Linked DNA regions of Mus musculus. The protein of the gene in region 3 purifies or fractionates together with the protein of the main gene of each other region. This does not show direct contact. Links are inferred from orthologs where the notes say so. Each region holds a gene or a part of one and is shown on either strand. Other genes may lie near its edges. The genes, in order: Otud5, Cd44 and Slc7a11.

What was found.
Region 1: the proteins of Slc7a11 (region 3) and Otud5 purify together in Homo sapiens (affinity purification with western blotting; 3 studies listed by BioGRID, with this or other methods). This does not show direct contact. The link is inferred for Mus musculus from reciprocal best matches to the Homo sapiens genes SLC7A11 and OTUD5.
Region 2: the proteins of Slc7a11 (region 3) and Cd44 purify together in Homo sapiens (affinity purification with western blotting; 3 studies listed by BioGRID and IntAct, with this or other methods). This does not show direct contact. The link is inferred for Mus musculus from reciprocal best matches to the Homo sapiens genes SLC7A11 and CD44.

The regions. Positions count from the first base shown.
Region 1 is NC_000086.7:7,865,707-7,869,359, reverse strand, and holds part of Otud5 (OTU domain-containing protein 5), read right to left. Parts: intron 1,846-3,653; coding exon 1,781-1,845; intron 1,694-1,780; coding exon 1,537-1,693; intron 1,438-1,536; coding exon 1,289-1,437; intron 1-1,288. UniProt on the Homo sapiens protein: Deubiquitinating enzyme that functions as a negative regulator of the innate immune system. Has peptidase activity towards 'Lys-48'- and 'Lys-63'-linked polyubiquitin chains. Can also cleave 'Lys-11'-linked ubiquitin chains (in vitro).
Region 2 is NC_000068.7:102,849,618-102,853,270, reverse strand, and holds part of Cd44 (CD44 antigen isoform c precursor), read left to right. Parts: intron 1-34; coding exon 35-256; intron 257-3,653. UniProt on the Homo sapiens protein: Cell-surface receptor that plays a role in cell-cell interactions, cell adhesion and migration, helping them to sense and respond to changes in the tissue microenvironment.
Region 3 is NC_000069.6:50,426,506-50,430,158, reverse strand, and holds part of Slc7a11 (cystine/glutamate transporter), read left to right. Parts: intron 1-2,382; coding exon 2,383-2,508; intron 2,509-3,653. UniProt on the Homo sapiens protein: Heterodimer with SLC3A2, that functions as an antiporter by mediating the exchange of extracellular anionic L-cystine and intracellular L-glutamate across the cellular plasma membrane.

The DNA.
Region 1 (3,653 bases), on a different chromosome or scaffold from region 3:
ACACTGAGAACACTGTTCTCAAGGAGGAAGGGGGCTTTGCACCAAGCTTGATGAACAGAGAGACCTCCACAAACCCCTCCCCAAAACAAATGTAAAATAGTTTTGAACAATGAAGTCTATTAATTAGAGAAACATTTAAACATTCAGACGTTTAAAGGAAAAGGAAATAAAGTAAAAGTTACAGATGAATCTTAAATGATATTAATTAAGTAGAAAAAATTCATTCTGGAATAGCTACATACACGCAGCGAAATTCCCATTAGATGACATTCTAAACCGGTGGAGTGGGTCACCAGATCAAAACAAAAGCAGTCAAATTCTTTAGAATTTGTTAAAGTCACAAGAAGTCAAAGGGAACAATTAAATGTGAGACAGAATCCTGGAAAAGGCTCACCAAGTAGAAACTGAGGAAATTGTTCTTAATGAATCCATACTGATTTGTTAATGACAACAAATGTACTATGTTCATGTTAATCATAGTGGGGCATATGGAAATGCTAATATTCTCCCAATCATTTTGCAAATCTGTAACTTTTCTAAAATTTAGTTAAAAAATAACCCCACCCCCCCACCAAGGTTGGAGGGTATGTTGATGTTGTTTAAGATTAGGCAGGACCACCTTCGGTTTGTAGGAAGTGAAACCTGAATAGAAGACTTCAAAACCCCCAGGAGGGGGTGAAGGGAAGATAGAGACCAGGGAGGAGAGGGGGTGGGGAGGAGAGGAAGTGGGGTGAGGAGAAGGGGAAAGAGCCTAGGAGGAAGGCAAGAGGGAGGATCAGAGGACATGATGAAAGGGGGAGGATGGAGCAGGGAAGATGAGGAGAGAGACTGTGAGACGGAAATGATTATCTGCCAGTGGATGCTGGGCAAATCAACTCCCATCTTCTGACACCAATTAGGTCTTGGGCCTGTGGGAAGGACTTTCAGTATAGGCCCAAACAATACAATCTGTCCACAGGGCCCATTCCAGTAAGCTGCTACATTCCAAGTCTGTGACTCCAACTGTAAGTGCTCTGAAGTTGGAGAAGATCTACCTGTGTGGAAGCTTGGATACCTAGTCCAAGGTCTGCCTTACTGCTTCAAATTGAGCTCTACATCCTAAAAGGCTCAACCAGAATAACATTAGTGAGCCACTTCATGGACAGGCAAATCAAAAGCTACAGAATGAGTTCTGATCAATGGTGACTCACTAATTTTATAGACAGGTGAAACTTAGGGGGAGACAGTTTTATGGTCTAAGGGCAGAGTCAATGATCCATATCTACCTGGGGCACAGGGACCCACTTACCCCTGGCTTAAATGACGGTAGGCCCAGCCCCACACCAATAGTGGCCTTGTTAGGATTCACCACTGAATTATAGTGGATATTCCGGTGGTAGCTGACACGGATGGGTTCATCTTCATTTTGATGGATCCCATGGAATGTGTTGATAGGTTCTGCAGAGAAAGAGAAGGAGGGAGCATCCACAGGGGGGCCCGGTATGGTTGGCTCTGATGAGGAACCATTAGTCCCTCACCTACCCACTACAGAAGTACCTGTGCTATATTGATACACCTCCACAGGACGGTTGTACATCTCTGCCATAGCCTGCATTTCAATGTGGTTGCCATGGCAGTTGTTTTTCCGCTTCCGGTTGATATAGGTGGTGAAGTCTTCTGTGACATAGTTGGAGAAGTAATCAGCGTTCTTCATCTGTGGAATAGATTGGAAAATTAAGGTTTGTGTGCAACGGGGGTCCCCCTACCCTCCTGCTGCCCCAAGGCCTCCCTTGGATCTCACCAGATAGTCCATGCAATGCTTTCGAACAACCTCATGCATGTCCTGGTCTCCATACACCTGGTCAGCTGGGGGTGTGAGGACAAAACAAAGGAGAGGATGGGGTCAGAGCTGTCACCACCAGAGCTCTGAGTCACAGAGTCATACAACAATCATTAGGGAGAAGACAGACTGAAGGACTAGGGAAACTCCCTTTTCTACACCAAGGCCTGAGCCTTCATTTGTGTTGTAAAGGAGTGGTGGAAATAACAAGCAAGGGCTGAAAACATGCTGAACATGCACAGATCAGCCAGGTGGCCTGGTACATGTCTACCATCCCAGCCCTCAGGATGTGCAAGTGGAATGGCCAGAAGATTATGTCAAGGCCAGGCTAGGCTACCTGTCTAAAAAAAAAAAAAAGTAGCAAAGTCAAACACTCTTGAAGAATGAAAGCGTATAGGGTAGACAGGTGAGAGTAGTACAGTCAAGGGCCAGCAAGATGCTCAGTGGATAAAGGCACTAGAGTACAATCCTCAAGACTCATACAGTTGAAGGAGAGAACCAAATTGCTCCCTTAACTTGTCCTCTGACCTCTACATGTAGTGACCATCCCAATCTCCATACCCACTAATAAAAATGAAATAACAAAAAGTTTTTAAGTTGGGCACAGTGGTGTATGCCTTTAATCCCAGGACTCGAGGCCAGCCTGGTCTACAGAGTGAGCTCCAGGACAGCCAGCGATAAACACAGAAACCCTGTCTCAGTGGGGGAAACAAAGGAGAGCAGTATATACCTATAATCAAGGCTGAGTCAAGAGAATTGCCAAGTTCAAAGCCTAGATCACCTGAGATCTAGTAAAACTCCATTTCAAGCCAAACCAAACGCTACATTCAATACCTACCACCACCACAAAAAAGATTAGAATCTTTTTTTTTTTTGAGATAGGGTCTCAGTCTATAGCTCTGACTGCTCTGCTACTTGATACATAGACTAGGATGGCCTCAAGCTCACAGAGTTCTGCCAGCCTCTGCCTTCTTAGTGATGGGATTAAAGGCTACCACCATGATTAGAATCTTTTCTTTCCTTTCCTTTCCTCTCTCCTTCCTGGCCCCCACTCTTTCTTTCCCAGAGTAGCCCTGGCTATCCTGAAGCTCATTCTGTAGACCAGGCTGACATTGAACTCCAGAGATCTACCTACCAGTCTCTGCCTCCTAGTGCTGGGATTAAAGAGGTGCGTCAACACACATGGCTATGATTAGAATTTTAAAAACTGAAGGGAAGGAAAACACTTTAAGTTCTGCCAAATAGTAACTAGTGAGGTAAACAGCCAGAGACAAATGACTCTCTGAGTTTCCTATGCCTCCTCTGTGAAGTGGAAAACAAACAGGTGTGACCTGACAGGTTTCTTGTGGACAATGTGGACAGTCTGTGTAAAGTGGTAGAACTCCTCTACCATCCAACTCAAAGGTGTACACAGACTGATTACACAAAGCCTCCACTGAAGATAAGGGGCAGCTCACACCTAAGCCCACCGGCAGCTCAGGACCTGATATAGTAAAAGAAATTGAGTACAGTTTGCTGAGCAGTCATATATGCTGAGGCACAGGAAGCAAGAGTTTCTTAATTAATGTGGGCTTGAAGATTAAGCAAACCTGACTTTCACTGGCTGCCTTGAAAAGGGAATTTCCCTGTGTTTCCCCAGAGATACACAGTTCTAATGGGATCCCCCTAGGGCACAGGGGCAGGGAATGCTAGGAATGGGAACGTGCCCACCAAGCAAGCCTGCCAGTCTATTTCTCTGAAGACTTGCCAGGGGTCTTCACTGCCCAGTGATTCCCTCCATGAGGGTTCTGTATAATACAGGAATCAAAGGCTGCACTGAGAGAGAAAGTGGGTA
Region 2 (3,653 bases), on a different chromosome or scaffold from region 3:
TGAATTTCTAAAGGTGTGTCTGTATCTCCTTCAGCTATTGTCAACCGTGATGGTACTCGCTACAGCAAGAAGGGCGAGTATAGAACACACCAAGAAGACATCGATGCTTCAAACATTATAGATGACGATGTCAGCAGCGGCTCCACCATCGAGAAGAGCACCCCAGAAAGCTACATTTTGCACACCTACCTTCCTACTGAACAGCCTACTGGAGATCAGGATGACTCCTTCTTTATCCGGAGCACCTTGGCCACCAGTAAGGAGAATGGCATCCTGGGTTTTCCTCTAGCAGTTCTTTGACAGAATGCCAACGGCCTTCCTGAGTAACGCACACCCCAGGGTCTGTTTTCTGCCATCTCTAGACATCTAGCTGTGGGTGAGATCATTTAGGGAGTCCAGCTCTTGTTCCTGTCAGTGTTCCTGGTCATTGTGCCATGGCTTCTACTCCCCTTCAGATCCCCACCATCTTCACCTCTGAACCTCTTACCTTGGGATAAGGAATGCCATATTGGCAGGGTTTCCTCAGGAAGGTGCCGATTTTCTCTTGCTCCTAAGGATTTAACAGTGCCTCCGACCTGTTACAGAAATAATTTGTGGTGTTGCTTGTTTTATTCTTGTCATTTGCCATTTTCTTTAAGAGAAAACTGTTCTCTTAAAGTCAGGACTGTAGAGTGTATGCTCCATCAGTGCCTTAAAGGATCCATTCTTAGGATTCTGATTGTGTAATATCCATATTCTTAACCCTAATTTTCAAACCATGCTCCCCCCCCCCCCCCCGCCAAAGGAAGCAAGAGTGAGGGGTTTTCTGATCACCTTCTGTTGCTGTAGAGTTCTGGATTGCAGTTTGTGGGGGAAGACCCTAATGCAAGAGCATTAGGTATCTGTGGGCAATGGCAGGGGAGGCAGCCCATGCAGCATTGAGTGGCTGCAGGTTTGTGCAGATGAGCTCTGTTAGGAAGGTGCTCAGAGATTTTTATCTCCTCCACTTCCCTCTCTGCACTTCCTCTATGGTTTGTTTTAGAATGAGGTTTTAGATGGCCGGGCTCCTTCTGTGGAGAATTATTCACACCCAAAAAGGGCAGCTAAGCCTTCACTGAGCCTCCTAGTATGGTGTGGATTTTCACATTTCCTGGCTGAAACTCAGAGGGGTGGAACTCTGGCTTTTTCACCGTTTGGCAGGAACGTACTGGCTTGGGAATATACAAGATAGGGCCCTTGTCACCCAGAAGCCAGGAAGCCTCCATAGCACTCTGAAGCAAGCTGAACTCACTTAACAGTGTTTTAGATTTCTGTTATCAGGTTGCTGAGTGAGGGGGAAGGCTGATATGAACGGGTGCAGGATTCCAGTCATTCTCAGGAAATTGTTTGAAGCCTTTCCAAAAAATAAAAAAGAATCCCCCATCAGATTCCGGGGGTTCGGGGATAGCTCAATGGGTAAAGTGCTTGCCAGGCAAGCACATGAGGACCAGAGTTTTTTGATCTTCAGCATCTACATAAAAAGTTGAGCATGACAGTGTGCATCTGCACTCCTAATACTAGACAGAGACGGGGAAAACCTGGAGCTCACTGGCTAGCCAGCCCGGGCAAGTCAGTGAGCTCTAGCTTCAGTGAGGGTTCCTAGCTCAAAAACTAAGGTGGACAGCAAGCAGGATAACATCTTGATGTCAACCCCTGGCCTCTGCACATGCCTAAGTACACGGACTCCATCTATCCACATGAGGCAACGCTCACAAGCTTCTCACGCCCTCCCAGGTCACTTCCTCTCTGATGGTTTGTCACCTTGTTGTCTGTAGTGTCCTGGGAAATACCTCTCCACAGAGACCTCTGCAGAGCAGGCAGGTGACATTGCGAGCTATGTGCACCTACTTGGGTCCCCTGTCCTTTTGATGCAACCGTGTCTGACGTGCTTCTCATTGGAATGTGCAGTTTTGACAGATGTTGGCAAATACAGTAATTAGTGGTCTGATAAGGAAGCAGAACAGGTCTAACCTAAAGTCCTATTTCCCACCCCAAAAGAACATCCTCGAACAAAATCTGTCATGTGGAGATTGAATACAGCTGGAGTCCCAACCTGTGTGGGGTGGGAGTTTCACATGTACTTGAAGAGGGGTAATTGGCCAAATATATTAGCATCCTTAACCCATTCCCTAAGCACTGCTCCTTCCCCATCCAATCTGGCCAGTCAGTGAATCCATCTTAAGGTGCTAATTTTGTACCAGATCCATTCTAATACTCAGAGTCTCAGGGTTGAGCATGGCAGCACGCATCTGTATCCTAGTAACAAGGGTAATGGAGACTGGAGGTATCCTGCAGCTTGCTGCCTAACCAATTTAGCCAAATTCAGGTGCAGTGAGAGATCCTAGCTCAAAAATAAGGTGGACAGCAATCGAGGAATTTAATGTCAACCTGTAGCCTCCACACATGCACAAGTACACAGACTCCATCCGTCCACAAGGTACATCAGTTCAAGCTTCGGTGCTCTCCCAGGTCATTTCCTCTATGAATATCAAAAAAAGAAACCAGGGTCAGTGAGGTTTTCATCCATTCACTCCATATCATGTGTCTTCTCTGCTCCAGACACTGCTGAGGTTTATGAGGGTCAGAGGCAGATCGCCCTTCACGGGTACAGCATCCTAGCCCAGAAATCAAAGAAAGGGAGTGACCGAAGCGTACCTAAAACGCAGCTCAGGATTCGAGGGAAAAGGAGCTTTTGCCTTCCCTTTTTTAGAGAGCATGTGGCTTAGTTCTTTTTAATGGGTGTGGAGGAGAGGCCAGTTTGCCCACCAGTTTAAGTTTACTTGAATGTAGCAGGTAGCAAGAGAGCTATGCTATCTAAGCTTCTGAATAGAATCCTACCTTTTAAGTCCCATGAGGAGCTTCCCAAGGGCTTACTTATCACTGTTGGGTGGAGGGCTGAGACACAGTGAGAGGGAGTGGATGGAGATTAGCATGCAGGGGAGCAGAGGTCAAGAGCTGGGCTGGCTGAGGACATGGAAGAAGCTGTGCCTGGCTTAGCCAGCTCATTCTTCCCTTTAGGGTGCTCAGTGGGTGGCAACTGGGAAAACTAGCAAGAACAACAGGCTCTGTAGGCTTGGGTTATCCCACTGGCTGCTTATTATAAATGTTATTTTTGGAAGGATCTGCCTGGAGGTGTGTCATCAGTTCCTTCTTATTGGTCATCTGGAATTCTCTGGAATCAAGAAGCCTAAACTAATTTAGGAACTAGGCTCCTGCCTTGGACAGCACTACTTCCTGTCTTCTGGGTGTAAAGTGAATAATTTGTTTTCCATCTTACATGACCTTACATGGGTGGGGCAAGTTGAAAACTCACACCTAGGCTGACACTTCTTTCACTGTCTCCTCTCACACAGCTCCACTTAGGAAGGTGATATCATGCTCATTTTGTCTTCTGTATGTCCGTTTTTTCTTAGCTCATTCTCTGGGGTACTTCCAGGTAGGGGTCAGAAACTATGCATCTTCAGTGCAGTTTTCCACAGGAGGCAGTCTGTAGCCTCTTGTGGGTGCCTTCCTGGGAGCCTTGTAATTGCCTTCTCTCTCTGCTTTCACTAACGTGACCTTTGACATTTGTTATATGTGATGCTCCCATTCTAAACTGGAGTTCGCATGGAACCCAGTAGGTTCTTCATGGTATG
Region 3 (3,653 bases):
TTTGCCTTCCATTTGTTTTTTAAACTTTAGAAAACACAGAAAAATATTCCAGATCCTTATTGGTTTTCCTGTTTCAGTGGATATCAATCATTTGCTTTCCTTTGAAGACAACACTTTTTCCCTCAACTATGCACATGGCCAGGTGCTCCTCAAAGGAGAATACTTTGTCATGGGTGCTATGTCTGCTTCCTTTCTTTCCCTCTTTCTTCTTCTCCTTTCTCCTCCCAGGGCCTCATTTCTACTTTGGACAATCTGAAATAGGGCAAACACAGTGTTTCTTTGTTGCTGATGACAACCAAGATCAAGTTTTTTTTTTTTTTCTGTCTTTCACTTTTATGTCAAAGTTGGACCTCTTTAATTAAAAAAATTATCCTTCTCATGTGATGAGCCATTAATCACACAGTCACTTGCATAGAGAAATAGATACTCATTAGGTAACTTGGGGAGAAGCAGGGTTGTATTTGACTATTTTCTATATGCAACATCTCTGTACGTATTCCAGACAGAAATTATTTCGATTTTCATCATTTTGATAATACCGTTGAGCACTGACAGTGGATCTAGTTATCCCTTCACGCATTCATTCAAACATAGCTGAATTATGTTAGCCTCCATCTCAGACCTTTCTTAGTCTTCTCATAATTACCGCTTTGACTTACTTCATTACTACCCCCTATTTTACTGTCAGTGGAGACTTTGATCCCCCCCCCCCACACACACCTTTTTTCAAATTTGAAATTTTCAAATTTTCAAAGTTGAAATATTTTGACATTCTGTCATCTGTAGGTTCTTGATGTTACTTTTTAATTTGTTTCTTTATTTTATGTATATATGTGCTCCATCTGTATGTATACCTGCATGCCAGAAAAGGGCATTAGAGCCCATTACAGATGGTTGTGAGTCACCATGTGGTTGCTGGGGATTGAACTCAGGGGCTCTGGAAGAGCAGCCAGTGATCTTAACCACTGAGCCATCTCTCCAGCCCCTGATATTACTTAATAAATATCTCTCCTGACATCCTTCTTTCCTCCGTTTCGGACTTTATCATCCCCCACCCACCCCCATGCATCCATCAATGACTAGTTAACCTCCTCTGTGGCTCAGTGGCATATCCCATAAACACTATGTCATGTGATGTATGATTGACTATGGTATATTGATTTTTAGATGGCAATCCAAAACCATTAAAAGTATGTATATTAATTAGGCACCGTTCTGGTATAGATTGTTTTAATTTTCACATTTGTTATTGCCTATTAATGGCATCTCACCAATTCTTAATTATGGAATTGAACTAATAGATTATATTATACAAGGGAAACACAGTGAGAACTCCCGAATCCACACAATTCTAATTTGAATAGTATGAATTCCACTGGTGTTTCTTTTAATGCCATGAGAAATAATTTTATGCATTTAAAAATCTTTTTAAGAGAGAATAATCTTTACTAAAGTAAAGCTTATTGGTGAAACCCATAAATGTCAGGAATGAAATAGCTGATGTTTTGGGCTATACTGTGCCTATGTTCTTGGCAAGAACATAAAGTTGAAATTTACTGTGTAGAAATAATCCTGAACACTCCATTGAGAAGAAAATGAAAGCGTAGAATACCACCATTAAAACTGTGCTTTAACATTTTTGAGAACCCAGTTCATTCATTCATTTACTCATTCATTCAACAAAAATATGTTATCTACCTGGGCCAGGAAGAGATTATTGGCAATTATTGGCAATGCCAGGATGAATAGCCACTTTTCCGTCTTTGATGTGGACGGGGGTGGCTGTTTAGGAAACTGTCAACAGTATCTTAAGAAGAAAATCTTCTGGCTTCAGACTCACTGTGCATCCTAAGCTGAAAAGTCCCAAGACCTTTTGCTTCAGTAGAAAACATATGTTGGCAACCAATACTTGCAGGGTAGATTAAAACTCACCCTCATTATCTAGTTGGAAGTCAGGAATTCCAAGAATAGTTCTTAGTAGGTCTGGTCCTGATGGTACAGAACAGGATCTCAGACAAAGCACTTCTTACCCCTTCTTCAGTACTATCCTGACCACTGGATGACTTCAGGATGAAGCTATTTTACTTTATTGTTATTGCATAAAAATATATGTTCATTGTTACCAATGCGTAAAGAATAAAAGAGATCCTCTGACTGTATAGGAGACTTATCCAAGCTTCTCAGACTTGAGTGTCTCTCAAAGAGCCATCTTAATGCAGGAGAGCCTGGATCTGGACAGAGCCTGGGATTCTGCACTTCTTAATTTCTGGTAGTTCATGCCAGCACTGCAGGTTTATAGATCTCATTTCGACTGACAAGGACCTAAGACATTGTTGTGCTCATGGGACTTTGCCTTTTGTGACTGTGTCTGTTTGTTTGCAGCTGTGGTGATGGTCCTAAATAGCACGAGTGTCAGCTGGAGTGCCCGGATCCAGATTTTCCTAACCTTTTGCAAGCTCACAGCAATTCTGATAATTATAGTCCCTGGAGTTATACAGCTAATTAAAGGTATGGGCTGAAAAGGAAATGCGTTTTAAACTGCGTATCTGCTTCTGGTCTCTTCTAACACCGACTTTCGCTTGTCTAGCAGAATCCTTAATTAGTCTTTGCTTGTGGAACTTAAACTCTGTACTGTCATCTAATTGATTTGAAAGGCTACATCGAGGATGAGTTGGTATTTATAGTTGAATGGCAGCAAGAGAATTAAGACTAGATGGAGCAACTAAAATGAGGTGTCTGAGAATTCCCTTGGTATGAGTGGCTTGGAGTCAACCCTAAAGTAAAAAGCAAAAACAAACCAAAATGAATTTGCTATTTAGTTTTAAGTACAGATCAATATGTTCTTTGTTTGCACTCCAGAACTTTTCAGTAGTAGAAACAATTATGAAAGATAAAAATATTTCTGGAAAATAATGAAAGATGACCGATAATTCTTGATTTTTTTCATTTGCATTTCTTCACTCCGAGATCAGTATACACAGAAGAGTAGTGAAATCAAGATCCTTATATGACAATAAAACATTGCAAAAACTTAGCTTTTATTATTACATTATTTTCTATGTAAAACTTTCATTTCTGAAGAAATGGTGTAGCTTTTGGATTTGTCATTGAGCTTCCTATTTAATAAGATAAGAATTTGAGTGATGATGTCATAGTGTATGGTTGGCCCTAGTAGATGGTGTGTGTGCTTGCATAGATTTAGTGGAAATGTTCCGAAGAGAAAGAGGACCCACCAGGTTATGGAATTTGTAGCAGCAAATAGAAATGATAGAGTGAATCCATTGGAGAGAGGTGACATATCATGTGGGCATGTTAAGTATGTGTCATTTACATTGACATTGTCAGTTCCAAGCAAAGGAATTTATAGGGAAATCCAATGACCCTGCAGGAGGAGAGTTCCAACACAAAAGGAAGTGGCAAAGCTCAGCAAACCCATTGCCATCATAGAGCCACCAAGCAACCACCTTGAGAACTTGGTCACTCTAGTTAGGAAAGGGAATGGCTCTTGTCCATTTAATCATCCTAGTGGGTGATCTTAGAGTCCTGTTGGTAAAATGCTTCGGTCAAATCCAGTAACCTCAGCCCCTGAATAAACACAATGAAGTGAGAGAAGATGTGGGCTCGCTGTCCATACTCTCTGCTCCTCCAACTCC